Tamandua tetradactyla: one gene and its partner. The protein of the gene in region 1 purifies or fractionates together with the protein of each later gene. This does not show direct contact. Links are inferred from orthologs where the notes say so. Each region holds a gene or a part of one and is shown on either strand. Other genes may lie near its edges. The genes, in order: BRAF and RPTOR.

Region 1 (15,883 bases):
TGGGTAGGACATGAGATTTTGTTGGTTTGTCTGGAGTGATGCCCCAATGAATCCCAGAGTTATTTGATCAGTGGATAAAAAAGCATCTGCAAAGTCCCCTTCGGGGAATGGTGAGAACAGGGGAAAATTCAGCTTCCCCAAGTTGAATTGTTGATATTCTCAGAAGCAGTGTGGACAACTAAAGCTATAGACTGAGCCCCCAGTCTTGGGGTTTGTTCATATGAATTTTAACCCCACAAAGGACAGGTCAAGCCTACTTAAAATTAGGCCTAAGAGTCACCCCCAAGAGAACCTCTTTTGTTGCTCAGATGTGGCCTCTCTCTTCAGCCAACACAACAAGCAAACTCACCACCCTCCCCCTGTCTATGTGGGACATGAGTCCCAGGAATGTGGAACTTCCTGGCATCATGGGATAGAAATCCTAGAATGAGCTGAGACTCAGCATGAAGGGCTTGAGAAAAAATCTAGAATGAGCTGAGACTCAGCATCAAGGGATTGAGAAAACCTTCTCGACCAAAAGGGGGAAGAGTGAAATGAGACAAAGAGTCAATGGCTGAGAGATTCCAAACGGAGTCGAGAGGCTATCCTGAAGGTTATTCTTACGGATTAAGTAGGCATCACCTTGTTATTCAAGATGTAATGGAGATGCTGGAGGGAACTGCCTGAAAATGTAGAGCTGTGTTCCAGTAGCCATATTTCTTGATGATGATTGTATAATGACATAGCTTTCACACTGTGACTGTGTGATTGTGAAAACCTTGTGTCTGATGGTCCTTTTATCTACCTTGTCAACAGACGAGTAGAACATATGGAATAAAAATAAATAATAGGGGGAACAAATGTTAAATTTAGTTTGAAATGATAGTGATCAATGAAAGGGGTATGGTACGTATAATTTTTTTTTCTGGTTTCGTTTTATTTCTTTTTCTGAATAGATGCAAATGTTCCAAGAAACGATCATGATGATGAATATGCAACTATGTGATGATACTGTGAATTACTGATTATATATGTAGAATGCAATGATCAAAATAGGAATGTTTGCATTTTTTTTTTGTATTTTAAGAAAATTAAATTAAATTAAAAAAATAAACACAGTTAAGAGGTTGTCCTGGTGGTTATTCTTACGCATTATACAGATAACCCCTTTTTAGTTTAAGGTGTATTAGAGAGGCTAGAGGGATGTGCCTGAAACTGTAGAGCTGTGTTTCAGTAGCCACGTTTCTTTAAGGTGATTGTATAATGATAGAGCTTTCGTAAAGTGACTGTGTGATTGTGAAAACCTTGTTCTGATGCTCCTTCTATCTATGGTATGGACAGATAAAATATGGATTAAAAATAAATAAATAATAGGGGGAACAAATGTTAAAATAAACTGAGTAGAGGGAAATACTAGTGGTCAATGAGAGGGAGGGGTAAGGGATATTGAATGTATGAGTTTTGTTTTTTTCCTTTTTATTTTTTTTTTCTGGAATGATGTAAATGTTCTGAGAAATGATCAGGTGATGAATATACAACTATGTGACGATATTGTGAGCACACACATACAGATTGCACACCAAGTATGTAATGTTCATACATTAAGAATGTTCATGTTGTATGTGGATTGGTTTTATCAATAAAAATTTTTAAAAAATAACTACTACAACTGAACAAAAAGATGAACAATTCAATTTAAAAATGGGCATAAGATCTGAACAGACATTTCTCCAAAAAAGAAATACATGTAGCTAAAAAGCACATGAGAAGACATTCAACATCGTTTATGATTAGAAAAATAAACCAAAATCATAAGACACCATTTCATACCCACTAGAACGGCTACTATTTTAAAACAAAAAATCAAGTGTTGATGAAGATGTAGAGAAACTACAAACCTTGTACATTGGTGGTGGGTAAATAAAATGGTACATATGCTGTGGAAAACAGTTTGGCAAGTTCCTGAAAAGGATAAGTATAGAATGACCATATGACCCACAAATCTCTAAAGAATTGAAAGCAGGGCTCATATAAGTATTTGTATACCAGTGTTCACAGCAGCATTATTCAAAACAGCCAAAAAGGAGAAACAACTCAAGTGTCCACCAGTGGAAGAAAGGATGAACAAAGTCTAGTGTATATATACAGTGGAATATTATTCATATATTAAAAGGAATGGGGTGGGCAATGGTGGCTCAGTGGCAGAGTTCTTGCCTGCCATGCCAGAGACCTGGGTTTGATTCCTGGAGCCTGCCCATGCCAAAAAAAGAAGAAAGGAATGAAGTTCTGATACATACAACAACATGGATGAACCTTGAAGATATCCTGTTGCCTGAAATAAGCCAGACACAAAATAACAAACAGAGTATAATCTCACTCTTATAAAATAATTAGAATAAACAAGTTCATACTGTCAGAAGCTAGAATACAGGCTTACCAGGGACTGGAGAGAGCGTAGGGAATGAGTTGTTAATGCTTAATTGGTACAGAGTTTGGAGTGACAGAAAGTTTTGGTAACAAACGGTGATGGTAGCATAAGATGGTGAATGTAATTAACAGCACTGAATTATGTATTTGAATGTGAAAGGGGAAATTTTAGATTGCACATAAATTACTAAAATGAAAACTTAAAAAAAAACAAAGGACTGTACAACACAAATAGTGAATCCTAATGTAAACTATGGGCTAAAGTTAAGAGTATAGTTATAGTAATACAGTTTTATCAAATGTAACAAAGGTACCACACTAATACAAAGTGTTAATTATTTGGGAAAACTGGGCCTGGGGGGCAGTAGATGGGAACTCTGTATTTTCTGCAAGATTTTTCTGTAAATCTACAGTTTTCTACTAAAAAAATAATAATAATAACACTACAGGCCCTCTGGAAAACCGTGTGGCAGTTTCATAAAAAAGTAAACATGCAACTACCATATGATCCAACAATCACACTCCTGGGCATTTATCCCAAAGAAATGAAAGCATATGTTCACACAAAAACCTGTGCACATGTGTTCACACCAGTTTTATTTTTAACAGCCAAAAATTGGAATCAACCCAAAAGTCCTTCAAAAGGTGAGTGGTTGAATAAACTGGTATGTTGATACCATGTAATACTACTCAGCAACAACAAAAAAGAACTATTGATACACGCAATGGCTTGGACTACTCTCCAGGGAATTAGGCTGACTGGAAAAAAAAAGCAATCCCAGAGAAATTTTCTAAATAAAGAGGTGGGTGAACACCTAAAAGAAAGAGGGGGTCCACTAAATGAGCAGAAAGAAAGTATACAGAAAGGAAACAGTACAAATATCAAAGACATATCCTAAAGAGCATGTTTTCTCCGCCTTCAAATATATCTAGGCACGTATTAATAGCAATAGTCAGAACTACACAAGCACATACCTTAGTGGGACTACCACATTTCAGAGGTATGATGCCATCCAACCTAGTTTGGCATGGCTCACAAAGAAGTCTTCTCTTACAGTGGACTTCATTATAAAGGAGATTCCATTCCAGAATATTCCCTGACATCATTATAATTACAGCTTAACCAAGATTAGAGAGAAAGGATCTTAAAAACATAAAATTGTAATTGTAATGGAATTGTAAGTAGTGCCCTTCTAAAGAAACCCAGCATAATAGAGAAGTTAATAAAAATCATACTTTGATAATCTCATACCATATGGTCATAGAAAGTAACATCAGGGAAACACAAATGATAAGAAGTCAATGTTTAATGCCTAAAGTATAAGCACATTCATTTGATAAATATTTAATAAACTCTTGTCATTTAGCAGAAAATTCTAATTTAAGCATCTACAAAGTTATGCTTATAAATACAGAACAAGAAATTTGTTCATTCCCTAACAAATTTAAAGGCTAAAATTTACTATTCTAAAAGCTAAAATTTATATTCTATGTTCAAGATGTTTTTTATGGTAAAAATTTGATGCACCCTAAAATTAAAAAAAAAAAGTTTAAATAAATGGTAGTTTATTTCATGATAAGTAAAAAGTTTTGCCACATTAAGTTAGAAAAGACTGCAAAACTACATACCAGATATTATACATACATTAAACAAAGTAGATGGATATACATCAAAACGTTTATAGTAGTTATATCTGAGTGACATTACAGGTGATTTTTCCATTTTGTTTTTACACTTTTATTTTTCGACTATGAACATGTTTTGTCTCTGTCACTAAAAAAAAAAATACAGTTGAAATTCCCCTCTAACAGACTTAAAAGAAAAAAAAAGCAGAACTTTATTTTAACATCAGGTAAGGTAACTTTATAATAAAATGTCATTAAACACAAACACAAATTTTCATTTCTTTCCATGTACTTGGCAATTATAAGACATCCCTTTAAGTGGATATAAGGAAGACAGTTTAACCAAAATACCACAATACATTTCAGCTTCCACTGATTTAACAATATCAACTTCAAATTTAAAATTATTTCTTGGAGGAACTTATTCTACCATCTATAACACTGATACATACATTCAAGAGAGACCGATTTTTAAAATCATTCACACCCCCCCAATATACTTAATGATCAGCCCATAATAGAGAGGAAAAACAACTACTCATCACTAAACATTAAAACCTGGATGGAGGGGGCAGTGAGAAACACTTTTTCCAGTATTTAAAATTAGTTCAGAGTATCCTTATAGCTTCAGGAAATAAGACTATGCTTTCCAGTTACTGCTAATTTAAACTTAAATTCATTCAGCCTAGAGGTTCTCAAGCATTGGTGTACACAAGAGTTACCCAGGAAGAGCACCAAGTATAGAAACCCATGAGCTTAGTGCTCACCTACTGAATCAGAATCTTGAGTAGGTAATGCCGAGGAATCTGTATACTCCAATCTGGCCCTTTCAAGGAGGATAGCAGAGTAAAGATTTTACCCTTCCCTATATCATTGAAAACTGTTCTCATAACTCTGAAAAAGTTCTCAATGTAAACAACGTATATAATCAATTTCAATTTCATAACCCATACCCATTAATTTATTTGTCCTTCCATTCCTTGACAGCCTTCAAAAAAAGCTACAATAAAACAAAAACACACCATGTACGCAGAGTAAAGTAAAGCCTAGAGGCACCTGTGCTTGGTAAGACAAAGGCATATCCGATTCATGGAAAAAATAGACAGCAGATGTGACCCCTAGTATTTATCCATTAAAAACAATGTATCCTAAAAATAAACTTCCATGTCAAGGGAACAAAGCTGTTTATAAATAAGAAGGAATGTGGAGGTGTGGGGAAGACAAGAGGAAGCTTCAGCAAATTAAGTATCAAAAGCCAGGAAACAAGGCAGAATGAATGGTAACTGCGGACACAGAAAACAGAATAAAGCACAAAATAGAAGGGAAGAGCCCTATCCTTAGAATCCAAGAAGTTGAATAAAATAAATATTAGAGGAAACTTACCTGAGCAGAAATGCAACCTGGAAAGTGGAAAGTGGAGTGATTTTGTTAAGAAGGGAGAAAAGACGAGAAATTGAGATTAGATCAAACGATGGCACAAAACACATTTTAGGTATAGATGCAAGTGGTAAAAGAGGGTGGAAAACAAACATAATTGTGAACAAAGTGACTCTGAATAAAGCAGGCATACCAGATGAATTCCCAGAGCAGAGAGGAAGAAGCAGGAAAAAGAATTATGCAGATAGAAGAAAGAATGAGAGGTTATGACAAATGGTAAACAAGATATAAGTACTAGGAAGGAAATGGAACTTCGAGCAAAGTCAACAGAGTTAGTCTCATTACCTAAACAATACTACTAAAACAGTTACTATACCATATGTTATCTTATCATTGGTAAAGTAAATAAAATGTACTATTTTAATGTAATAAAATATCTGTAAAGTGTATGTATTTGTAAATTAAAGTATACTGTTTATGTAATAAAATACTAAATGTAATAAATTTTACATAATAAAGTGAAATGCAAATAAAGTAACCTAACAAGATAGGTTGAATAATGCCAAAACAGGCTGTGAAAAGTAAGGCCTAAAAAAAGAAAAAAAGTGAAAGAAAATAATTGGGACAAAAAAGGAGAATAATAGAAAAAAATAAAACTACAGAATATAGGAATAAAGAGGTGAGAAAACACAATGAAAGACCAGCCAAAAAGTGCCAATAGTGGAAGGGTGAAAAAAAATTTCACAAGTGTGAAAACCTGATGGAATTCTGACAGCTTCAAGGATTCAGAAAATAAGTAGCTTCAAAGTGTCCTGAAGGATTAACAACGTGACGGAACGGTGGCACGAAGTAGAGGGCCTCAAGAAACTACAACAAGAGAAGTGCACCAACGGTTTTAAGTAGAAGCCTACATTAAGAAGCAGGGAGGTCCCAACAACTTGAAAATGAGCAGGGCAACAGATCATAATGGTATTGGGGGCGGCCAGTCAGCGACAGAGCGCTGACAAGCATTAGGGACTGGCCTGAGACCTGGATGGAAAGGACAGCGGAAACTGTGGTACTTAAGAGTTAAAAAAGCAGAGACTAAATCAAAACCATCCGCCGAGTAACACAGGTGAATATAAATGACCAAACAGTGGAAGGGAGGACAGTGGCCTAGGAAAAAAAGGGGACAATCAGAGAGAGTAGAGGGGGAATTACGCGCCCCATCATCCTCATTATCTTCTAATAATCACACACAACAGTAAATCAGACTGGGGTCTCGATCCCATCCACTAGCCTACATACTCCTCCTGGATGAGGCCGCCTCCTCCCTGCCCACCCCCACCCCCCAAAAAAACACGAAAACATCTAATAGATGCCGGGCTGGATACCTCAGTCAGTCGTGACCTTCTCGGACCAATCCTGAGTTTCGCCCCCTACTGATAGCCTCCTGCTCAACCACCGCTGCCCGTATCCCCAAATCTGGGGTGGGGGCCAGGGGAAATCCCCCTTGGCCACTGTGTTTACGTAGCGAAGAACCGCAAAACCGAGAGACCGGAATGGAAGAGATGCCCATCTCCCACCTCGCAAAGCCAAAAGGAGAAGGTGGTTGAGGACACCAGAGCCTCCACCGCCACCTCTCTCCCCAAAATAAACACAAATCAGCCAAGTTAGGAGACAAGAAAGGTGATAGTATGGCACCGGCACTCACCTCCTCGGGAATGGCAGGTTCCGCAGCCGAAGAGGCCGTGGCGCCGGCACCGGCCTCGGGATCCATATCCCCGTTGAACAGAGCCTGGCCCTGCTCCGCGCCGCCGCCGCTCAGCGCCGCCATCTTATAACAGAGCTGGAGCCCGAGCGACCGCTGCTGGGCGGGGAGGAGGAGGGCGGGGGGAGGCGGGGGCGGAGGCGCGGGGGCAGCGGGGAGGGACGATCGTGGTGGCGCCGGGGGCAGGAGGGCGCCTGGGCCACCTCAGGTACCGGCCTGCGGCCCCGGGTGAAACGGTGCCTGAGGGGATTGGGGGAAGGACGCTAAGCGGAGGGGGGGGCGGGGGAAAGGGGCGGAGACGACTAGAAGTCGCCGCGGCAACGGCGTCACCCTCATGTCACTGTCGTGACGTCACCCCCGTAGTGCGTGACGTAATCGTAGGAGCGCCCTCGCGCCGTTGTCAGGAGAAGGTTCTATTACCTTCTACCCACGCGCGCGCTGGCGTGTTTCCTCAGCTCCTTGGTTTCCATGGCTCCGATTTCCTATTTTATTATCATTTCCTTGGTCCTAAGCCTGTTCAGTAATGTGGGATTTATTAGGAGAGGAAGGCTGGTGTCTGAGAAATTGAAATCTTGGAGGAAGCGGGGAAAGCCCACACTACTTGAATTATTTCAGTACAATGAAGGTCTCCGTGTTATTAAAAAAAAAAAAAAAAAAAAAAGGAGATTTTTAAACCCCAAGATTGAAGGCTCCAAGTAGGATTGGATAAAAAAGTATACTTCAGAACAGCTTAAATAATTAGTGCATTTCTTGTATCCTTTCCATTTAAGAATTTGGCCTGTTGAGTGGGTCTAAATGGAAGTCTAATAGCTTTTTTGAGGAAGTAATGTTTTCTTAAGTCTTCATTTTCCAGGTCTATTCGTTTAACAACTATCAATTGAGCTTTATATGTGCTATGGCCTATACAAGGGACGGCATCTGGACATCTGAAGCATCAAATTTTTAATCATTTTTTTTCCGAGAAAATCATATACTTTTGTGCTTTTTATAAACAATTTACCAAGGCCTTCTCTCTGCTAAACAATTGTAGAGGATAGGTAAAATCACCTTGAAGTGCCGAATTATAAAATGGAATTAAAGAAATCAAAAGTGCTATTAAAAATGCATATATTGGGCGGGCCGCGGTGGCTCAGCGGGCAAGAGTGCTTGCCTGCCGTGCCGGAGGACCCCGGTTCGATTCCCGGCCCCAGCCCATGTAAAAAACAAACAAACAAACAAAATATAATAAAACAAGAAAATGTTTAAAAATGTTTCCCTTTCTTCCTCCCTTCCTTCCTTCCATCCTTCCTTCCTTCTCTGTCTTTCCTTCCCTTCCTCCCTCTCTCAAAAAAAAAAAAAAAAAAAAAATGCATATATTAAAAAAGCAAGAGAGACTCAGAAAAAAAAAGGGATAAATAGGAATGAGAAACACAGGAGAACTTACTGTGGACTCCCAGTGGTATGCATTTAATCACCAAATTAACCTAAGCATATAATTGAAAGTGTGGACAGGAGAATTTTCCTGAACTGTGCTTTTTTAATACTTCCCATAGAGTGGGAGGAAGTTACCACTGACCTCCTTATTATATTTAAAATGATTAAAGAAATATAAACCTGGCTAACTGATTTCTGAACCAGGGTATCTGCATATCAGTATGCTTAGGAGTCAGTGTATTAGTTTGCTAATGATGTTGGCATGCAATATACCAGAAATGGACTTGCTTTTATAAAGGGAATTTATTATGTTAAAGTTCTGAAGCCATAAAAATGTCCAAACTAAGGCATCCAGATAAGCATACCTAGACTTAAGAAAAACCAATGTCTGTCACATAGGCAGGCATGTGGCTGGTGTCTACATCCCTTCCTGGCTTTGAGTTTCAAATAGCTCTCTCAGCTCCAGCAGATCCTGCTGGCTTCTGGCTTGCTTAGCATCTCATGGGAAGGTACATGGTCATGTCCCCCATGACCATGGCTCTGTGTCCCCCAAACAGCTATATCTAGGTGTCTGCTCTCTTTGTTGGTACTCTAAGCATTTCCAAATGTCTGTGTCTATGTTGCTTCTTTTAAGGACTCCAGTAAACTTTGAATGGGCAGAGTCACATCTCCATCTAATTAAAAGGTCACACCCACAGCTGGGTTTGTCACATCTCTGTGGACATAATCTAATCAAAAGGCCATGCCCATAATTGAGTGGGTCGATCTCCCTGGAAACAATCTAATCAAAGGTTCCACCCAAAACAATAGATCTGGCCCCACAGGGTTGGATCAGAATTGAAAAAAAAAAACGACTCTTCAGGGTACCTAAAAGTTTCAAACTAGCACGGTGACCATGAGCCTAGAAGCTAATGTGTACTTCCCGGGTAAGGTATTGTATGCAAGGCTGATTGCATACAAGGCTGATTAACAAATATTACCAATATTCCTCAACCCTTAGAAATACAACCTATCAAATGAGGACGGTATGTTTTTTCACCTCCTCTGCACTTTTTCTTCCAAGTAGAAAAATCTCCGTAGGGAAAACATTTAAATTCCAAGGTAGCTTGGCAGATGAAGAGTAAATGAAGTGATCATAAGGTATAAAATCAAGGTATAGTAATTTGTAAGTAAGAAGCACCCTACTTTACCATGGGGACATTCTAAGCAAATTGAAATACCACCATCAGTCATGGCATCCTTACCTTTTATTTCATCAAAACCACACTAACTTTTTTTTTTATTCTCTTACGCTCCTATTTAATTTTTTTCCAATCAGCCCCTAAAGATATTTCATTATCATAACATTTACAGTGCCTCATAACATGCTAAAAGTCCTGAGATTATGGTTTTTACTGGTTGCATTTTAAATTATTGCCTTATTTATCGGCAATAATCCATAGATCATATCTTGCATGGTTATTTCTCCAGAGGATGGCTGAGCTCATCCAGTTAATATTTATTATTATTAGTTTCCCTTTGATTCACTCAACATGTTCTGACCATGTCTTCAAATTCTGGGTATATGTGAGTTCCTTAGGCCAGGCTAAAATCCCACAGCATCCAGATAGAACACAAACCTTGGAATCTAAAGTCAGGATTTTAGTATCACCATGCCACACCTCGGCTGTAAAATAGTTAAACTTAAATCTTCTTTGTTTTCGTCTTTAAAATCTATAAAATAAGGGCTAATAATGTTAGTCCTACTTGTGTAACTATAGCATCTTGAGAATCTAACATTATAGTTTTGCCCTTTGCAAAGTATAAAATGCTATAAGTATTCAGCAAACATTCACCGTGTCCTCTGTCCAGCATTCAACCTTAACCACTCCAAAATTATTTCCTTGCTTGAGTATTGCAAACTTGTATCTCCTCCCAGACTGCTCATTTGCTGTTTTTGTTTTTGTTTTGTCTCTGACTCCCCTTCTTCTCAAATTAAAAATATCAGGGTTCCTCATAGCTCTATTCTCAGCATCCTTTTCTTCTCCTTCTATATTCTGTCCCTTAAAGATCTAATGCACTTTCAAGACGCCATTCAGTAGTCATATATAGACCATTTACAATGGAGCAGACACTGTGGTAGGTCCTCTGGGATACTGAGATGGGTAGGACACCATTGTCCTTCCTTCAGAGATCACTTTTACCTCCTGGAGTGGTGCCATATAATGAACATGTGAGCTGTATTTTAGTAGAATTTCGCTGCCCCAACCTCCTACCCAGGGAAGCAGCTTGAGGTTGAGAGCCCCATCCCTTCAGAGGCAGATTAAGGCTGGGCCACTCACTGACCCTCATCTAACTTACTCAAGTGTTGGTCTGCACCTGTCAGAGCTCTGCCCAAGAGGGGTGTTTCAGTTTGCTAAAGCTGCCAAAATTGAATATACCAGAAATTGACTGGTTTTTCAAAGGGGATTTATTTTACAAATTTACAGTTCTAAGGCCATGAAAATGTCTGAATTAAAGCATCAATGAGATGATACCTGAGCTCTAAAGAAAGGCCGCCACCATCAGGAACACCTCTGTCAGCTGGGAAGGCATATGGCTAGCATCTGCTAGTCCTTGCTCCGTGTTCATTGCTTTTAGCTTCTGATTTTGTTGGCTTTTTCTCTGCTTCAGTAGCATCTCAGGGTGTTTCTCCCTCTCAATATCTGTGAGTCCTCTATTAGCTTCACTGGGGCAAACTCTGGATTTCATCTTTTAGCTTAGCATATACCCGGGGCATTTTCTGTCTTCAAGTGTCTATGCTTTCCCCAAAGTGTCTCCTTAAAGGATTCCAGTAAGCAGATTAAGATCCACCTTAAACGGTTGGGGTCACATCTCCGTGGAAGCAACTTACGCAGAAGGTCTCACCCAACAATAGGTCTGCCCCCACGAGATTGGATTAGAAGAATATGACTTTTCTGGGGTACATAACAGTTTCAAATCAGCACAGAGGGTTATGATGACCAGCCCTATCAGCTCTACCTAGAGTTTGAAATGGAGCCTATATACAGGATTTGTCAGTTGGTATTGAGAGGAGTCCCACGCCGACATGCAGAAAGAAGAAGAAATACCATGAAAGCAAAACCATCCAGGCCCCATGAGAGGAGTAAACAAAGAAGCTGATACTCAGAACTTCCTCAGATTTCCAACAGCTTTCCAATTCCACTTTTTATAACTTATAAATATGACTTTTTATAACTTTCCCCTTTTGCTTAAAGTAGATGATGACCTAAGTGAATTTATGTTAAGTAAAGAAAAGGAACCTAATCCAGGGGAACAAATGTGAAGCAAATAATTAAAATTCAAAGTGATTTCTGTTACATGCTACTACATGGATGAACCTTGAAGATATCATGCTTAGTGAAATAAGTTAGACACAGAGGGACAGATATTGTATGAATCCATTTATATAAATTAGATAGAATATGCAATCATAGAAGCAAAAAGGAGACTATAGGTTACCAATAAGTGATGGGAGGTGGAAGGGATAATAGGAAATTAATGCATAATGGATGTAGAGTTTGTGCTTGGGGTGATAGGAAAGTTCTGGTAATGGATGGTGGTGAAGTAGCAAAACATTGTGAATGTGATTAATCCCCTTGAATTTTATGCTTGGGAGTGGTTGATATGGGAAAGTTCATGCCTGTTTGGGAATTCTGATTTGAGAAAGTTCACATCTGTAAATAGGTGTCCACTACTTACAAAAAGAGAGAGAGTGAAGAGACAATAACAAATAAATGAAATACATGATCCTGGACTGGATCTAAAAATGGAGGAGAAAATGCCTGAAAGAACATTATTGGGACACATGAAAAATTTAAATATAGACTGTAAACATTCTATCAATATTAAATTTCTTGAATTTGGTAACTATACCTAAGGTGTTCACATAAGTGAATATCCTTGTTCTTAGGGAATGATGGAAGTATTATGTTCAAGGAGCATAGTGTATTCAACCTCTCTCAAATGTTTAGAAAATGGATAGATGAATAGATAGATATACACACATAGAAAGGGATAGATACATAGACACATGGATACATAGATACTTAAAAAGATACATAGTCAGATGTATAAAAAGAATGATGTGGCAAGATGTTAAAACTTGGTGTATCTACTGTGAGCCAGTGAATGTATACTTCAGGTGGTTTGTATATGTGATTATGTCTCAAAAAAACTGCATTTAAAAAAAGTTAGTGTATCTAGAGATCTGAGTGGGGGTATGTTCAAGTTCTGTGTATGGATTTTGTATCATTTTTGCAACTTTCCTGTACATTGTAAGTATTTCAAATTAAAAACACTTTAAAAAAATCAAATAGACTTCTAGCCTCGTTTTGGAGCAGCTAGAAAGAAAAATCTGATATAGGGCAATGGTAACCCGTAGCACACTCTGAAATCTGTTCTGTAACTACTTGTTGAAGTGTACTTTGAAAATCATTCTTTTTTCTTTGTATGTATGTTATATTTAGCAATAAAAAAGTTTAAAAAATCAATTAGATGATCATATGGTAAGAATGTTTGTTTGTATGTTGTTATGTTTAATCAATAAAATAAATTTTAAAAAAATCAGCTAGAGGGCAGGCCATGGTGGCTCAGTGGCAGAGTTCTTGCCTGCAATGCCAGAGACCCGAGTTCTATTCCCGGTGCCTGACCATGCAAAAAGAAAAAGAAAAAAAAAATCAATTAGAGGCCTAGATATGAATGACTCCAGGGCTTATGCTCTTTCTGCATTCCTGGCTTTAAAATGGAACCAAGAGAGTTGAACCACCCAGAGAGCTTGGAGAGAAAAGCCCCAGAAGAAGCAAGCAAGGACTGGTAGAGACTGAAAGAGCCAGCACCTGAAAGCAAAAAAACCCAAGAGAGAAGGATCAGCAAACACCAGCCATGTGCTTTTCCATGTGACAGAGGAACATGGGATACCATTGGCCTTTATAGAGGAAAGGTAACTGTTCTAGTTTGCTAGCTGCCAGAATGCAACACACCAGAGACGGATTGACTTTTAATAAAAGGGGATTTATTTTGTTAGTTCTTCAGAGGAAAGGCAGCTAACTTTCCACTGAGGCTCTTTCTTACGTGGAAGGCACAGGATGGTCTCTGCTGGCCTTCTCTCCAGGCCCCTGGGTTCCAACAACTTTCCCCAGGGTGACTTCTTTCTCCATCTCCAAAGGCCTGGGCTGAGCTGCGAGTGCTGAGATGAGGAATGCCGAGCTGCTTAGCTGTGCTACCTTGTGCTCTCTCATTTAAGCACCAGCCAATTAAGTCAAATGTCACTCATTGCAGCAGACACGCCTCCTAGCTGACTGCAGATGTAATTAGCAACAGATGAGGTTCATGTACCATTGGCTTGTGTCCACAGCAACAAAACTAGGTATGCTCACCTGGCCAAGTTGACAACTGAATCTAACTAACACAGTAACAAATTCATATTTAATGACAAATTTTATTTTATTTAAAAAAAGTCAAGTTTGAAAGTATCCATATGAAAGAATAGCCTGAAAAACATTTCACACCAGTAGGTACCATCTGTTGAAACCTCTAGAATTATTATTTTTATTTATGCATGAATGATACAGTATTTATTGAGCACTACTACAAGGCACTGAAAGGCCAATGGTATCTCACGTTCCTCTGTCTGGGCTTTTCCTGTCTTTACCCTCATAAAGAACTCCAGTAAAGAATTAAGACCCACCTTGAATGGGCTGGTTCACATCTCGATTGAAACAACTAATTAAAAAACGCACCCACAATAGGTCTGCCCCCACAGGAGTGGATTAAAAGAATATTGCTTTGGTACAAGACAGCTCCAAACCAGCAAACTCACAGATTCAGTGGGTCAGGTATTCAGACAAGGCATAGCAGGGATGGCTTATCTCTGCTCCGAGATGTCTGCTGTCTCAGCTGGGAAGATTCAATAGTTGGGAGTGTCTCAATGGCTGGGAGTTGGGCTCATCTAGAGGCGTATTTACTCACACTAGTCTGGAGGTTGGTGCTGGGGCTTCGGCTGGGGTGGTTTGCCAGCACACCTAAATACTGCCTTCCCGGGTGACCTGAGCTGCATAGCATGGCAGCCTCAGGGTAATTAGACTTCTTTAGGCTCCAGGCTCCAAATGCTAGTGTTTCAGTAAGCAAGGTAAAAACTGTATTGCATTTTGTGGCCTAGTCTCAGGAGTCATACACTATCACTTCTGTTGCATTTTATTAGATGTAGATGAGTCACTAAGTCCAACTCAAATTCAAAGACGGGATATAGATCACACCTTTTAACAGGGGACATGTCAAATAATTTACAGGTATGTTTTAAAATGGCCACAGTTCAGGTTCAGAGTAATGAACTGGCTACTCTGTAGTAATTTGGTCACCTACCCTCGCCTTCTTCAGAGGGTATTGTACACACATATTCTCCCATTTATTACTTGGAACTAACAGAGAATTTCTCAATGTACTATTGAAGGAGTGTTTACCTTCTCTTTTCAGCTTATGAGGCCTCCACTGCATGTAAAAATAAATGGAGGTTTGTATGACTGTGAAGATTTCTCAATAAAAATATTTTTTAAATAAAAAAATAAATGGAGGTCTCTTGCCTCTGTCCTCTCCTGGGCACTTCCCCTCAGACACCAATGCTGCCACAAGCAGTGTTGATGGGCTGAAACCCTGTACACAAAACACCAGCGCTGTGTTCCTGGACCCTGTAATGAGCCAAGTCAGTCTATATTCTGAGCAAAAAAGGAGAACACCTTCCTTCTGTGTTGCTGTTTGTCACCTGGGCTCCGAAGCAGTATTAGCTTGCATTCTAAAGTCTTACAGACATTTAATTGAACACTTCTTTCAGGTTTTGCTCACCTAAATCCCTCTTTCCCCTAAGGTGTCCATGAGTTCACAGGAAGCTGGAAGACAAATCAGAGTGAGAGGCTTTGTCTCTCAGAACCATTGCTTCCCTTGATAATTGAGACACTAGAAGTCTTGCTGATGTGTCTGACCCTCTCTTCCCTGGAGATATTTGTTTCCAACTGGCTTTTCTGCATTCTGATAGATACTAGATAGTCCCATCCGTCTGCCAGACATGCCTTGCCAGGTCTAATCCTGCACTAATATGGTAAACTACTGGGAAACAAATAAATAGAAAGCATCTAAAATTCCAGCCAGGTTCAATGATGTATAGCTGAGTATAATTTAATATTTTCTTTATGAATGAAATTATCATCATGAATAATGTATCTTGCCTTGAGAAATAGAGGGCTGCGATCAGAATCTAAGCATGAATAGAGAATAGAATCACTGAGTTGATTAGCGCAG
Region 2 (16,844 bases), on another chromosome or scaffold:
AGAGCTGGCCCATCCATCCTCCTTCCAAGCCAAGCTCCAGCTCCATAAAAACAGCAGCTACTGCAGCTGGCAGTCCACATTGCTACCCCGCCACCAACCATCCTACTTCAGTTTTCACAAGTCCGTTCTGTAAACTCCCCAGGTCATCACACAAAACATTAAAGAGGCAAGCACTAAAGAGTGAGATTCAATAAAACGAATCATGGTTACTGCTTCATCAAGGACATTCTCAAGTAAAACTGGAATTTTTCTATTTTTTTCTGTCAGTGTGTGGCCAGATAGGAAACAATAACTACTAGTATAATTTGGGACCACTGTTTTCAATTCATATATAATGCCAGCAGTTTAACTCACTGTTACTTTTGTACCATCACTGTAGATGTCGACACTGTGGAAAAGGCAAATGACATTATCTTTCTTAAGAAAATAGTTTTGATTGCAGACCGCCTGAAAGGGTCTCAGGAAAGCCCAGGAGACCATACGGCATACCCTGAGAGCAGCTACGCTATAGCACTGACACCATTTTCAATCTGAATGATGCGATGGTGGTCTACTGCTACTTTTGTAAGCCCCCTTCCCTCTCACCTGACTACTATATCCCCACATATTTTTTGTTTGCGACCCCAGGACCTCTGAATGTACCCTGAATCTTTCAACTGAAACATTTTGGTAGTTCAGTTTTTTATTTTCAACTAGACTTTGTTTCTCAAGTTCCACTGCCTCTCACTGCTAGCCATGTAACTTCAGGCAAGTCATTTCATTTAAAACTCAGCTTCCTCATCGATACCATGGAATAATAATTTTTAACCAATTTACAGCACTATGGACCCCTAAGAAAGATAATTTGTGTGAAAGTCCTTGGTAAACTATTCATCTTTTCATTGATACACTTCATTGAATCCCTACTTTGTGTCAGGCACTGTCCTTTACACCAGTTTATTTGTAGAAGAGGGAGTGTGGAGGAAAATGTCTGAGAAACGAAGAGTGGTCAAAAGTGAGTGCACGGCTGCATTGGGTTGGGTGATCAGGGGTGGCCCCTGGAGGACCCGGAAGCCGGGTGTGAACAATGATAAGGAGCTAACTCGAAGGAACTCAATGTTCAAATCCAGAGGGCAAAGCATCACAGGCTTTGTGAACCAAGAATAAGGAGCTTGCATTTTATGCAAAGCACTGAGGAAGATATAAGGAAGTAAGATAAGTTGAGTACATTTCTTAAAGATCATTTTGACCACTATGTAAAGAATCAACTGGAAGGCACAGTGGGCATAGGGAGACCAGCCAGAACACCACTGTTATTGTGCAGACAAGCGATGCTGGCTGCCTGGACTAGAATGGCAGCGGTGTAGATAAAATGAAGTGGTCCAAGAAAAGATGTGTTTTCAAGGTAAAGTCAACAGGTTCTGCTGATGAACTGGAAGGGAGATGGGGCAAGGGAAAGGAAAGAATGAAAGATAAAATCTATATTTACAGCTTGAACTGGGTGAATGGTGAGGACAGCATGCTGCAATAGAGAAAACTAAGGCAAAGTAGGCAATTACAATCTGAGACAGGAGTTTCAGGAGCAGGTCAGATCTAAAAGTGGGGGATTTGAGAGTCACTGGCATGTAAAGGGCATTTCAAACCATGATCCTGGATGAGATTCGTGAAGGAGAGGTGGACACAGAAAAGAGAAAGATCACTTTCTTAGGCACATCCTCAGGAAATTAGTGACCTAAAAGGAAAACCTGGAGTTTCATAAAGACACAGAAGCAGGTAAAGAAAGAGTTCCATGAAGAAGGGAGTGGTCATCTGTGTGGAATGCTGCTAAAAGGTCAAATAAGGTCAGGACAGAAAACTGATCTTTAGATTGAGCAAGAAATGATGATGGGGTCAGAAGCAGCCTTAGTGAAATGAAGACAAGCCTAAGTGGAGCAGACTGAGGAGTAAATGCAAGGGGAGGAACCGCGGGGAGTAATGTGTGATTGTAAGGTATTACTATTATTCCTGCTTAAAAGACAACCTAAACATTTTACTGTCCATGTATTAGTTCAATGTACCCACTCTGCTTCCTCTGTAACTTATTCAAAGCATGGTTACAAAGCAATGCAACTAAGTCTAGAGGCTGGTTTGGCATCATCGTTTTATAGTTATATCTCATATACACATATACAGGTGTCTGTCCAACTGCTTCCTTTTAGAGTGAAAGCACTCAAGCTTTTCTGATTCCACATCACATATACAAAACAAAAGTTGCTTCTGAGACCAATTACCCACCTACCCCACTTTCCAGTGAAAAAATAAACTCTGTGACAGCTGTAAAATATCACAATAAAATACAACTGGGTAGAGGATATATATATATATGCTTTAGACATAAGTATATGACTGACTCATTTTGTACTGTAAGTTGTATATAAATCTAATTATTACAGCATCACAACCATAAAAAACTATTGATGTATATGAATATCATTCACTCTACACTGTATAAGTAACCAAACAAAAGAATAAGTTGACAATAATGGCATTAAACAAGAGTAACAATAATTAAAATGCAACAATAGCAGTATTTGAAAACCAGGACCTACTCAAAATAAAAATTGTCAGAACTCCAACTGAGAGTAGGCATGTACTGTAGCTTTGGAAGGCTGCCAAATGTTAAAAACTTCTTAGAGTCTTCAGTTAACTTTGGTAAATACGTAAATTTTAGGAATCCATAACAATTCCACTAATACAACACTAGTAAGTTTGTACATACACAAAATAAAAGTACAAGGAAAGGCACATCAATCACAGAAAGAAACGAAGATTGAGTCTGCCTTTTGGAACAGTTAACGGCCCACCAGGAGAAGTCTACACAATCTCTACGGCACTGTGACCAGGCCCGTCTGTGGTGACACTCTCCAGCAGAGAAACAGTTTGGTCTGGATGCGTTGGTACCAGAAAGTCCTAAAACCAACTATAGGTTTCATAGCAGAGGAGGAGTCACACATGGGTAGCCACTGGTCAAAATCAGTCCATAGCAGCACAATACTACCTAACTGTAGTACAATTATGTTAAAACACCGAATGAAGCTGAATGTGAGAATGATAAAGGGAGGAGGGCTGGGGACACAAATGAAATCAGAAAGATAGACAATAAAGACTGAGATGGTATAATGTAGGAATGCCTAGAGTGTATACTGACAGTGACTAAATGCACAAATTTAAAAAATCTTTTTGCATCAGGAAGAACAAAGGAATGTCATTACTGCTGGGTGCTGAAAACAGATGGTAATTAATATTTTAAAATTTTAACTTATGTGTGAGACTAAAGCAAAGAAATGTTTATTTGGTACAAAATTTATATTTTGACTAGAGCATTTCCTAATATAACTTATGTAGACAGCTTAATTGAACACCATAAGTACATGGAACCTTGAGTAGGACATGAGATTTTGTTGGTTTGTCCAGAGAGATGACCTGATAAATCCCAGAGTGATTTGAATAGTAAATAAAAAAGTATTTGGAAAGTCCCCTTCGGAGAATGGTGAGAAAGCGGGAAAATTCAACTTCCCCAAGTTGAATTCTTGATATTTTCACAAGCAGTGTGGACAATCAAAGCTATAGAGTGAGTCCCCAGTCTTGAGGTTTGTTCATATGAAACTTAACCCCACAAAGGACAGGTCAAGTCTACTTAAAATTAGGCCTAAGAGTCAGCCCCAAGAGAACCTCTCTTGTTGCTCAGATGTGGCCTCTCTCTCTAGCCAGCACAACAAGCAAACTCACCACCCTCCTCCTGTCTACATGGGACATGACTCCCAGGGGTGTCGACCTTCCTGGCAATGTGGGACAGAAATCCTAGAATGAGCTGAGACTCAGTATCAAGAGATTGAGAAAACCTGCTCGACCAAAAGGGGGAAGAGCAAAATGAGACAAAATAAAGTGTCAATGGCTGATAGATTCCAAACAGAGTTGAGAGGTTATCCTGGAGGTTATTCTTACACATTAAATAGATATCACCTTGTTATTCAAGATGTAAAGGAGAGGCTGGAGGAACTGCCTGAAACTGTAGAGCTGTGTTCCAGTAGCCATGTTTCTTGAAGATGATTGTATAATGATACAGTTTTCACAACGTGACTGTGTGATTGTGAAAACCTTGTGTCTAATGCTCCTTTTATCTACCTTATCAACAGACGAGTAAAACATATGGAATAAACATATGGAATAAAACATATGGAATAAAAATAAATAATAGGGGGAACAAATGTTAAATTTAGTTTGAAATGCTAGTGATCAGTTAAAGGGAGGGGTAAGGGGTATGGTATGTATGAATTTTTTTCTGTTTTCTTTTTATTTCTTTTTCTGAATAGATGCAAATGTTCCAAGAAATTATCATGATGATGAATATGAAACTATGTGATGATACTGTGAATTACTGATTATATATGTAGAATGGAATGATCAAAAGTTAAGAACGTTTGTGTTTGGTGTTTTTTGGTACTTAAAAAACTTTTTTAATTAATTTTAAAAAATCAGTCCATAGGTGGTTTTGTTTGGCCTGCAGTGTTGCACTGCATAGTTATTTGTAATATCTCATTTAGTTCCAATATTTAAAAATAAGGGAAGGGGAAGGGGAAGGAGGAGGGAAGCGGGGAGGAGGAAAATAGGGGGCAGGAAGGGAAGGGGAGAGGGAAGGGGGCAGGGGTGGGAAGGAAAAAAAGATAATGCACACGAGAGAGAATTCTAGCTGAGGCCCAGCTGCCTTCTTTAGATAGGAATATGCTCTCCAGAACCCTCCATTCCCATTCTCCAAAAAATCTACCAGACACTGAAAATCTACAAGACACTGAGCCAAATGTTATCTTTGAACTTATGCCAGTATTATTCTCATACCTGACCTGCTTTGTTCATTTATGCTACCTTCTAATTCTAGTCCAGTGGATTGAAAAGACCCCCTCGAGTTTTTTGACTAGAGGAAAGAGACTTCAAGGACTCTTTAAAACCTCTCACAAATGTAACAGAAACTGTTAGCTGTTGATTTTCGTCATTATTCAGCAATTTGCAAAGGTCAGATACAGCAAACTTTCTCCCCTGGTTCTTTTCTGAATGGCAAACTCAATAGTTACTCAGACTCTCACAACTTTTCTTTACTTAATGATCTATGACAAGCTTATTAGGGAATGCTCGGCATTCACAAATTAATATATATCAAAATATATCCATCAATCAGTTTTGAACAATTTGAGCGTGGGTTTAAGGTAGTAAAAGGAACCACATTTCAAAGGAAATAAAATTGCCCTCCAAATAGAATGTGGGGGAAAAAAAGATTAGACAGAGTTGCTTTAAGATAAATTTCTTTTCATACATGAACAACAATCCCAAAAGCTTTAAACTATGTAAGTAGTACTAAAGATGTTTATACAACAGACTTCTTCTCCTAATGACCGTTTATTGTACATTTTAAGCTACTCTTGGATGAAAGAAGTTTTCCTAATCTTTTAAAAATAAACCAAATCAATAACTGAAGCACTGGTTGAATTACAATAGAGTAATCTTACATGTTTAACATCAGATATTAAAAACAATAACCTCCTGTAAACATGTACTGAGCCTAGAACAAACCATATTGTATTGCAACACCAACTTCCCCTTTTTATACCACTGAAATTCAGTTCAAATAATAAAGGCACCCTTGAAGGAGAAAATAAATCACAAAAGGCCAAATTACAAGTGTGCACAGATGAGATGGTTCCACCCTTTTGCTTTGAAGACCAGGAAACATGTGGTTGATTAACTATGCATTCTACAAAAATGGCTTTCTTCTTTCCTAGCAGCTGCTTGCGAGCCAATGAATAATACACTCCAGCACCATGGGGGCCCAGACCCACTAAAAACGCCTGGACCCAAATTCCAACCATCATATGCTAAATTCCACTATTAAAGAAATTCTGTTTCCATGGTACAACAACCACAATACCATATGAGTCTAGATTCTAGACAAACTTTTGAGAGGACTATAATGAAACTCATTGTAACTTTAAAACAACCTTGCATTAATTTGTTACTAGCTGAACATTTCACAGTAATCCTGTTTCTTAGCACACTGTTTTATATTAGACTTCTGTAATTACCCAGTTTGGAACCCACCCCCTATTCCCCCAAAAGTAGACTATCCACATGGGTCCAAGTGTTGGTTTATATCCCAAATTGTCTTTTCTCTAAATCCAACAGCACTAGATATAGTAAAGAGTGTATAAATATTTACAATACTGTATTTCCAAATCTGCTCAACTTTTACTAGCTGAATTAGAACTTCGTTTGAATTGAATTAACGCTACCCACTAATTACTAACCAAAACAATCTTTCCCATTTTCAACCAAACATTGGAGTCGGAAATGCTTCTTGCTTTTTGGTTGACTTGTAACATGTGGCTGGGAAAAAATACCGGCGCTTTCCCAAGGACACGCCTCTGGCTGAACTTTCCTCGTTGGCAAAATTACCAAGGTCCAAGGGACTCGGTTAGGACCTACTTACCCGGTCCTTCATCCTCCAACTCTGTGCTAAAGATTTGGAGCCCTCGATTTTTTCACAGTGCCTCTTCTTCATAAAAGCCAAAGGCAAGTTCCAGTCTGTAAGGTCGGCTTCATCTTCCTCCCCGAGTCCCAGAAGGGGCGACTGCAGCATCTCGGACTCCATCAGGGAAGGAGGGGGTGGGGGAGTCCTTGGCAGTAAGCGCTCCAAAACCTCCAGCCTTAAAAATCAGCGTGTACCAGAATTGGTGAAATAAGAAAAAGAAAGAAGAAAAAAAAAGGGGGGGGTTAGAAAAAGAAATGAATGGAGAGTATGCAGAGACCCTTACTCAAGCAAAAAGTCTGAGCTCCCTATCTCTAACTCTGCGCGGGAAGTCGAAGGAAAAGCCGGTGGCAAACGGGGCAGCCCAAGGAGCTCCACACAAATTCACACACCCTCAGACCCCAAGCCACTGGCTGCTTCTAGAATGACCGTCCTCCGAGCGTCTGGGAGCCGAGCTGTCAAAGGCGTGAGACTTCAGGCCTAACGATGACCCTGCTCTCGGCCTCCACCGCCCCAGCAGATCGGAGGGCAGGCAAGCCCCCCGGTCTTGGTGCCGGTTCGCCGACTGGACGAGATCTCCGGCCGAGAGCTATTAGTTCTGGGCGCCTCAGGTCTCCTCCAGTCACTCTCAGCCCTGAGGGTCTCGTACTCGCCTAAGCTGCTGCAACCAGAGCCAGGATCGGCCCATCGTGCTGGCCTGCGGCCGGTTCCTCAGCCCCGGGACCGCGCGGCCTGGCTGGTCCTGGCCCTCGGCACCCTGGCTCAATCCTGCCTGAAAACGAGTCCTAAGGAAAGGGCGACACGGCCCCGCGGATAAAACGGTAACGTGGGCTTATTGGGTTTGGAGAGTTCTGCCCTCTGGTTTGGAGCGACAGTGAAACTCCTCTCATCAGCACATCAAGGAGGACGCCATGTTGCCGAGACCCAGAATGCATTGCAATCTATGGCGTGCCTGACGGGCCAAACTTCCTTAAAGCATTCTTCTCTAGTTCTCTAGATCCAGCAAGACAAGAATTTCCTGCCTGGTTGCCTGGGTTACCACAATTCGGCCTCTCTTCATTTATCGCCGCATGGTATTACAGTCACTCCCAGAAATGAAACCAGATTCAGTTAATTAATTTTGAAAAAAGAAAATCCATTATTGCAACCCAAGTTACATGCTTGTGTAATTAAAGGAACCGACCGCCTTGTTTCTTCCAGATTTTGAAAAGAAGGCAACATAAGTTTCAGGAAAAAAATCCATAATATTTCAGAAGAAAATTAGTATCTTTTGTACTTAGTATCTGCCACAGTACCCAGACCAGCAGGTTCTGTTTTTAATTTTCTTCAGAGAAAAACAACTGAAAAAAAAATACCTCATAGGTCATTTTTTGTTTTTTCCACCATATTTTCTGAGCAGTTTTTTGTTTTTTCAAAGACCAAAAGCTATGGATTTCTATGCGTTGAGGCAGTCCTCCCAGATTATTTTATTTCTCAATTTCAGTGTAAATAAACACTCTTTATTTACAATGCGCAGGAAACTGTTATTAAGTGCAGTGGGGAATATAAAGCCGAATGCAGCGATCAGTCCCTGCCTTCAATAAACTTAGTGTCTAGGGAGACACACACATACCTTTAGTTAAAGCGGGACGGAGCAGACACTCGGTCTTCCTCTCTGCTTCTGAGTCGACACACCTGGATTCGAATCTTGGCCAAGTCACTTTCCATCTGTGTGACCTTGGCCAATCCCTTAACTAGCTGTCTTTGTGTCCACAACTGTAATACTGGGATAGTAATCCCCGCTTGGAAGGATAAAATTAACTCATGCCTCGTATATAGTGAGCATTCAATAAGGATTAGCAATAATCTTTCTGTGGCTAGAGTGAAATCTAGCAAACCCTTCCTGCTTTCTTAACCGAAAACCTCAGGTTAGGCTCTCGAGGATACCCTGTTGGTGGCTTCCTAGGACTTTGACACAATGTGGCTGTCCGCCCCCAAATCCTTATGGCATGTTCTCCTCTCAACGGTGGAAGTGCAGATGAGGGCAAGATTGTTCTTACCCATAGCAAACATTTAAATTTGCAAACTCAATCTACTCTCATTGCATTTGTTTCATTATTATACCCCACTAAGCCCAGTTCTCGCATTAGAAATCAGGGCAAATTCACCAATCCTTAAAGGGGGGCTACGACGTTTTGGCAGAGAGTATCCCCACAATCATGAGCAGGAACTTGGGAAGACCCTATTCTCACCAGAAGGCAACAAAATAACTTTGGCCCCTGCCTTGTCTTCAGGCTGAGGACAGCAGGGAAGGTGGCACCTCTGGGCTTCAGGCAGCTCCCTCCAGCAGGACCCTGTGCTGCAGTGGAGCCCCAGATTAAACCTGTCCATTCCAAACCTGAGCAAACCCCCTCAGTCTGACTGAGGCTCAGTGTACCCACCTGTTAACATGTGACCCTGGGGAATCAATCCACTTACCTTGTCTGACACACTAAGTGACGTTAAGAGATGAGCCCATAGTGCATAACTTGGCAGTTGGGAAAATACTTAAAATAAGGATGCCTGGCTCTATCTTGAACCTATTAAACTGGGAAAGAGGGGTTGGAGAAATGGGATCTGCATTTTTTCAATCAGATAACCCCAATGATAGATTAAATCAGCCATATTTGGGGACATTAGACAATTTGCTCTCTAAGGTCCCTTTCAATGCTCCAAATACATGTGGGCCCTCAATAAATACTTGAACCAAAAAAAAATTTTTTTTTTTACTGTAAAGCACCTGGCAAAGCAGAGCAAGAAAACACTGAAAATTTCAGACTAAAACACTTCTTCTCCTGCTGTACAATGTGACACCAGAATCAAGAGGCCAGGAGGGGGTGAGTGCCCAGGCCGAGTCTCCAGCCCACCCACTGAAACCTGCAGACTCCGCAGAGCCTCTGCCTGTCTCCACCCAAAGTCTCCACATCTGTGACACAAGAAACCTGAAGAAGGTGCTCTCTAAGGACCCTTCAGATACAAAATCCTGTCATTTGTGTAAAACCCAGAAAGGGGCTCCTGGCAGCCCAGCCTCCAACCTACAGATTCAAACATGAGCTTGAGTCATTTCATCACATCATGACATTGGAAAGAAATCTCATTCCACGTGTCCCGGATGATTCTATTCCAGTCCCAGACAACCCTTCAGCTCCACATTTCAGGAACACAGAAGCACCTATGACAACAACAGGCTAAAATCCAAGGGCTGATGTTTCCCAGCTGGGTGATCCCATCACCATGGCAGGGCCTGGCTTGGCCACTTGGGTCTGCCTTTCCAACTTCCAGTGTCTCCAATTCTTCAGAAGCAAAGACATCTGCTTTCCGCAAAGGTTCGAGACAAAATAGTTTCAACAAGTTTTACAAATCTGAAGAAAAAAAAAAAATGCATGAAACTTGGTCTGATTCAAGCTATGGAAATGGGGGAGGGTCGTTCATGACACCTGCCCCACTGAGTCTTAGAAAGAAATAGTCTTTTATATAAGACTTGACAGCAGTGTTGGCAAGGCAGAGGGGTGTAGAAACCATCCTGCCAATGGTGGGCAGGGGCCCCATGTGGAGGGAACTGGGGAAGGGGAGGGGCCTCTAGGCTCAGCTCTGATCTGAAATATCAGAATAGCCCTTGACCTGCCTGCTCAGAGAGGGGGATGTGTCCTGACCATGTGAGGACAGACGGGAGGATGCCTTCCAGCCCTAAAACTCAGACTCTGCCTGCTACATGAAAGACACCCTGAAGCCAGAGATACAGCCAAGTGGGCAAGAGGACAAATATCAAAACCTGAGTGTGTTGATCAAATGGAACAAAAGTCAAGGGTAAATATGGGAGGGGGGGTGGAAGGTGAGAGGGGGTACTGGGCAGAAAGGATGGGATTAAATACCTAATGTAAGGAGCAATTTGTGGACGAAGGTCAAAGGGGACTGGATTTTCACAGCCTGGAAGCTCTGCTACTGGCCCACTCCAACTGACCTAATCTTTCCCCGAAACGGAAGACCCTTGCAGCCTAGGTGTTCCATTTGCACGCAGCACCGGTTTTCCATCCTCCAATATTGCAGTTTCTACACTAAATCAATCAAGGGCATTCAGTGTGCTTTGTCATCATCAAGAATCAAGAGTGAAACCCAAGGTCGGACAACTGCAGAAAATTGGGTGCTTTGCTGAGCTATTGTTTTCCACAGACAGAGACCGGCCGGCTCCATCCCTTCCAGAGAAATCTGTGCTTAGCTTAAAAGAAACCAAAATAGATATAAAGTACTTTGTTTTTCTCCGAGCATCATTATTCTGTTTTTAGCAAAACCCAAGCCGTCCCCCACCACACCCTTGCAGGTCAGATGTTTTGGTGACAGTGAAGTGAGAAGGGAAAGGAAAGGGAAGTAATGGGACCTGAGCATCACCTCCAGTGGGAAATGCGAGGTTGCGAGAAGACAAGTCTGTCTCTCTCACTTTCCACGTCGTCTTCTAAAAATACGGTGGTAGATGTATGTGTGATCTTCACTCTCCACAGTATACTTTTCTATTTTATTTATAACTTTTTTCTTACAATGAGCGTGTATTATTTTGATAAGCAGAAATCAACAGTGTTATTCTGCTTTAAATAAGGGATGACCTCTGAGTCACGTGGGGACTATGGTGAAAAGTGACCCCTTAGTCAATAAACTTCACTCACTGGCCACATTTCTTATTTCAGAATTGAGGATTTTTGCACCGTCCCAGCCTTAAAGGGACAGCAGCAAGGCAGAGCAGAGAAGGAATTGGGCGTGTTGCATGAAGACAAGAGACCAGGAGTAAAGCCTCAGTCCTGCATATACTGAAGAATTTTCCAGGGAGAAGACAGTGAAATGTGACCTTTACCTCAGCCCTTGCCTCCCCTCTTGGGAGGCTGTTCTCCACATGGGGTTGTGTTGTCCGGGATGACAAAGCACCTGTTTGGGGTACCTAGAATGTAGAGCAAGGTGGAAAGCAGAGCAGAGGGAGGGAGGGGGGAATGTGTCTGGGTCACATTCCCTGTTGGTCCAGTGAGGACCCTCTAGCCAATCAGTCTGGACAGATGAGTTAGTCCACCTCCAAGTCATTCCTGGATCTGACCCCGCTGTCCACAGCCCTTGGAAATTCTTTGTGGAGCAGGATGAAAACAAGTGTCCTTCCCAGGTCACAAACTCCAAGATCGCCCTCCTTGCTCCCCCAGGACCCTGCAGGTGGAGCAAAGAAGATGGACATGTGCCCATTGCAGATAGCGTGTTAAGAGAGGCCCCACCCGAACAAGACGGCGGAGTGAGATGCTTCAGGGCTCGCCCCCCCAACAGAGAAGCTTCGAAAACCAAAAAGAACTGGCAGAAACGTCTTTCTCAAAGCTCCAGAAGACGGTTAAAGGGCCTCAAAAACAGGGTGAGCACCAAATCAAGAAAACAGGTACTGAAATTGGTAGAACCCCATGGTACCCTGGCTGGCCCGCCCCCCACCCCTCACCAGCTCAGCACAGAGCTGCCCAGGCTGCCAGTGCCCCGGTCCCAGCCTCAGAGGGAGCAGTCTGACCTCCTGGACACCCTGGGAGCAGGTGTGTCTGGGCCAGTCTGTCTGGGGGTGGCCTGAGAGACTCGCTGTCCCAGAACTTGTCCTGCATGTGGAAGGAGGCTCACCGGGCAGAACACTATGGGTGAGCAGGCAAGCTGCGCTGCCTGGGCAGGGGACTGCTGCTGTGGGACACACAGGGCAGTGCCCCTGACCGCGAGGAAATTCCTAGAGAAGAAGGGATATTCGGAACCATGTAAGTGGGGGATTTCCTAGGGCCACATTCATATGCCCAAGACAACATACATGCAAAAGTATCAGAAGGTCCCTGCACGTCCACCTCGAGCTATTCTCTAAAATCATTGTGTGGATAGACTGAATGAGAGCTCTCTCACCTGTCCATCTACGAAGACAGGGAAAGATATTTCTTCCCCCCCCCCCCCCTTTTTTTTTTTTTTTTTTGTTGTTAGTTCCTGGCATTCAAGGAAAACTCTGTATTAACACTAGCTGGATATAAGCTGAAGAAATAGATGCCTCAGAGTCTAAATTCCAGTGATCAATCAAAGAAATAGGAGGTGATAGTCAAGACAAAAGAGAAGATAAAGTATTGGAAACCATCAACAAAGAAGACTAGGCCTCTAACGAGGAGAACAATGGCTTTTAAAAAATTGTCTTAAATATGCTCAAAGAGCTAAAGGAAAACATGGACAAAAACCTAAAAGGAATCAGAGAAGTGAGAGACTAACAGAAAAAAAATATGCATAGAGAGAAAGGAAAACCATGAAAAGGAATGAAACAGAGCTGAAAACCATAGTAACATAAATTAAAACTTCCCTACAGGGGTTCAGCAGCAGATTAGAGCTGGTAAAAGAAAGAATCAATTAAATTGACTATTGAAATCATCTGCTATTGGGTTCACAGGTGGTTCAGTGGTAGAATGCTCACCTTCCATGAGTGAGACCTGGGTTCGATTCCCGGACCATGTATCCCCCAAATAAATAAATAAATAAAAATCATCTGATCTGAAGACCACGAAAGATGAAAGAATGAAAAATATTGAAAGAAGCCCAAGAAACCTGTAGGATACCATCAAATGTACAAATATATACATTGTGGAAAATGCAAAGAAGAAAGAGAGAAAGGAGCAGAGAGAATATTCAAAGAAATAATGGCTGAAATCTTCTAAAATTTAATGAAAGACTTGAATTATATACATCCACGATGCTCAACAAACTCCAAGCAGGATAAACCTAAATAAACTCATACTGTGCCATGTTATAATCAAACTGTTGCCTGCCAAATGTAAGAAGAGAATTTGGAAAGATACAAGAGAGTAGGGAATATATTATATACAAGGGAGCCTCAATAAGATTAAGTGCCAGTTTCTCACTGGAAACTATAGAGGCAAGAGGGCAGTGGGAAGACATATTTAAAATGCTGAAAGCAAAAAAAAAAAAAAAAAAAATTGCCAACAAAGAATTTTATGTCCATCAAAACTGTCTTTCAAAAATGAGGGAAGGAAAAAAAATTAAAGAAAAAGAATAAGGGAGGCAGGTACCGTGGGATCAACAATGCTATCCTGACCAAAAGGGGGAAAAGAGAAATGCAATAAAAAAGGTATCAGTATGGGCCATGGTGGCAGAGTTCTCACCTGCCATGCCAGAGACCCAGATTCAATTCCCAGTGCCTGCATATGCAAAAAAAAAAAAAAAAAAAATTGTGAAAAAAGGTATCAGAGGCTGAGAGAGTTCAAATAGAGTCGAGAGGTTACTCTGGAGGTTACTCTTATGCAAACTTCAGTTAGACCTTGCTACCTACCATGACTTGCCAAACCCCACCCAAAACCATTCCAGTCAATCCTAAAGAACACCTATGGCATTATATAAGATTCTACAAAGGTTCCATGCATTAGGGTTGCTTTCCAGAAAACTGCAACGTCCAGATGGGTCCCTGGACCCGATAAATCCTGAAATGCACAGGGGCCAGCCTCTCCAGAACATCAGTTAGTTCCATCTCCCATCCCATATTATCGACAGCCTCTTCTGTGCTAATTTGAAAGGATGTATGGACCCTAGAAGAGCCATGTTTTAATCCTAATCCCATTTTATAAATCCAACAGTTTCTTCTAATCCCTATTTAGTACTGTATTTTGAATCTATAATTAGATCATCTCCCTGGAGATGTGACTCAATCAAGAGTGGTTGTTAAACTGGATTAGGTAGAAACATGTCTCCATCCATTCAGGTGGGTCTTGATTAGTTTACTGGAATCCTATAAAAGAGGAAACATTTTGGAGAAAACTGAAGATTCAGAGAGAGCCGAGAATGCCACAGCACAACGAAGCGGAGAGTCCACCAGCCAGCGAATTTTGGAGATGAAGAAGGAAAATGCCTCCCAGGGAGCTGGAGAGGAAGCTAGCAGATGACGCCATGTTCACCATGTGCCCTTCCAGCTGAGAGAGAAACCCTAACTGTATTCACCATGTATCTTTCCACTTGAGAGAGAAACCCTGAGCTTCATTGGCCGTCTTGAACCAAGGTATCTTTCCCTGGATCCCTTAGATTGGACATTTCTATAGATTTGTTTTAATTGGGAAATTTTCTCAACCTAGCAACTTATTAAATTCCCCATTTTAAAAGCCATTCTATTTCTGGTATATTGCATTCCCGCAGCTAGCAAACTAGAACACCTTCCAACATGAAAAAGTTAGAATAAGCATAGCCCAAATACCCCTAAAAGAGTTAGAAAAAGATATATAGAGAAGGTTGGGTTTAACAAATGAGTATGATTGCTAAATCATTATATTGTTATTTCTTTTAGTCTCCAGTATCTTAGAGCAGCCAGAGGTAAAAACCTAAAAATGTGGAATTCTAACCCATACCAAACTCTGAAATCTGTTCTACAATTAAATGTTGTGATGTGATTTGAAATGTATTGTTTTTTGTATGCATGTTATTTTTTACAAAAAAGAAAAAAAGTAAATTTTGCTGATAAATGCACAGCTGTATGATGATATTGTGAACCACTGATTATACACTTTGGATGATTACATGGTATGTGAATATATAATATATATCAGTAAAGAATAAATATTTATTTTAGGTGAGAGAGGGATTAAGACATTCCCAGGAAACAAAAGCTGAAGGAGATCATCTTTAGTAGACTGGCCCCACAAGAGATGATAAAGGGAATTCTACAGGTTTAACCCAACACCAACAAAGGATTAAAACCTCATGAAGAGATAAAGATCTCTGGTGAGGATAATGATGCAGGTAAATATAACTGCTAGTCCTACTGTGGTTTTGGTTGTAACTGCACTTTTTACTTCCTACAGGATCTAAAGGACAAATGTATAAAATGATAAAGCAGTGGTTTTGGACTCTGTCATGGTCAGGTTCACGTATCAACTTGGCCAGGTGGTGGTACCTGTTTGTCTGGTTGGGCAAGTGCTGGCCTGTCTTCGGCTATGAGGACATTTCATAGAATTAAATCATGATGACATCGGCTACATCCACACCTGATTCCATTTGTAATCAACCAAGGGGAGTGTCTTATTTAATGAGTGATGCTTAATCTAATCATGGTTTGGCAAGTGCTGGCCTGTCTGTTGCAATGAGGACATTTCATAGAATTAGATCATGATCATGTCAGCTGCATCCACAGATGATTCCATTTGTAATCAGCCAAGGAGATGTCATCTTTGTGATGATTAATCTAATAACTGAAAGCCTTTTAAGGAGGATTCAGAAGAGGCAGGCTCTCTTCCTGCTTCGGCTGGCGAGCCTCACCTGTGGAGTTCATCCAAACCCTTCATCAGAGTCATCAGCTTAACAGTCTGCCCTATGGATTTTGAACTCTATGTTCCCACGGTTATATAAGACACTTTTATAAATTTTATATCTATGGATATTTCCCACTGATTCTGCTTCTCTAGAGAGCCCTAACTAATACAACTTGGTACCAGGAATGGTTCTTATAAAACAGAATCTTAAAAATGGGTTTTTATGAATGGTTTTCTAAATTGACTGGAGTTCATAGGCACTAAGGATTCTGATTCCCATAATCAGAATGACATTACCAATCCCTGGAGTGAGTTGGCAAAAGAGATAGTGAAAATACCACCATTCAGTTCTTCTAACACTTTCCTTGTATGAAGCCAGGCTCTGGGGGACAATGTTTTTGATGCCTTTACGGAGTTTTGTGGAAATAGTAAGTATAGAGATGTTGGCTGGTTGTTGTTAGATACACTATATACATTAATGAGTGAAAGGGATGGGCTTAGGGCTTCAGACAAGAAGCTTAAGCACCATCTGACAGCTGTAGACGTTTCTGTGAGTACCCTGAAGGAAAATTTTATTTCCTATAGCCGTAGAATTGAGATCTCTGAAAATCAGACTCGGAATCTTATTGTCAGAGTGGCAACTTTACAACATAAACGGAAATCTCAATCTTGCATGGTGTCTGCTGTTAAAGTGAGGGCATTGATTTGAAAGGAGTAGGGCCCTGAAAAATGGGATGGTGACATACGTACGGGTTGATAATGATGTCGGTGAAAAGTTTGAAACCCTAGATCATGCTGAGTCTTCTCTAGATAACACTGTAATAGTTTGCCCTGAGGACATAACTGCCCCACCTCCAACCTGCCTTGAGGAGTTGGCCACCCAACCTCCACCTGAGGGGATTAGCCCTAGAGTGATTAATCCTGTTTCACCAGATGAAACTGCAAATGAATGCCCTGAAGCAAACGGCTTGGAAGATATTTCTAATTCTTTTCATTACCCCCCACCCCAC

The links.
Region 2: the proteins of BRAF (region 1) and RPTOR purify together in Homo sapiens (affinity purification with mass spectrometry; 3 studies listed by BioGRID and IntAct, with this or other methods). This does not show direct contact. The link is inferred for Tamandua tetradactyla from reciprocal best matches to the Homo sapiens genes BRAF and RPTOR.

Annotation. Positions count from the first base shown.
Region 1 is NC_135327.1:184,377,796-184,393,678, forward strand, and holds the start of BRAF (serine/threonine-protein kinase B-raf), read right to left. Parts: upstream 7,271-15,883; 5' UTR 7,226-7,270; coding exon 7,103-7,225; intron 1-7,102. UniProt on the Homo sapiens protein: Protein kinase involved in the transduction of mitogenic signals from the cell membrane to the nucleus. Phosphorylates MAP2K1, and thereby activates the MAP kinase signal transduction pathway. Phosphorylates PFKFB2.
Region 2 is NC_135332.1:72,765,194-72,782,037, reverse strand, and holds the start of RPTOR (regulatory-associated protein of mTOR), read right to left. Parts: upstream 7,486-16,844; 5' UTR 6,928-7,485; exon of another isoform or gene 6,714-6,927; 5' UTR 6,659-6,713; coding exon 6,497-6,658; intron 1-6,496. UniProt on the Homo sapiens protein: Component of the mechanistic target of rapamycin complex 1 (mTORC1), an evolutionarily conserved central nutrient sensor that stimulates anabolic reactions and macromolecule biosynthesis to promote cellular biomass generation and growth.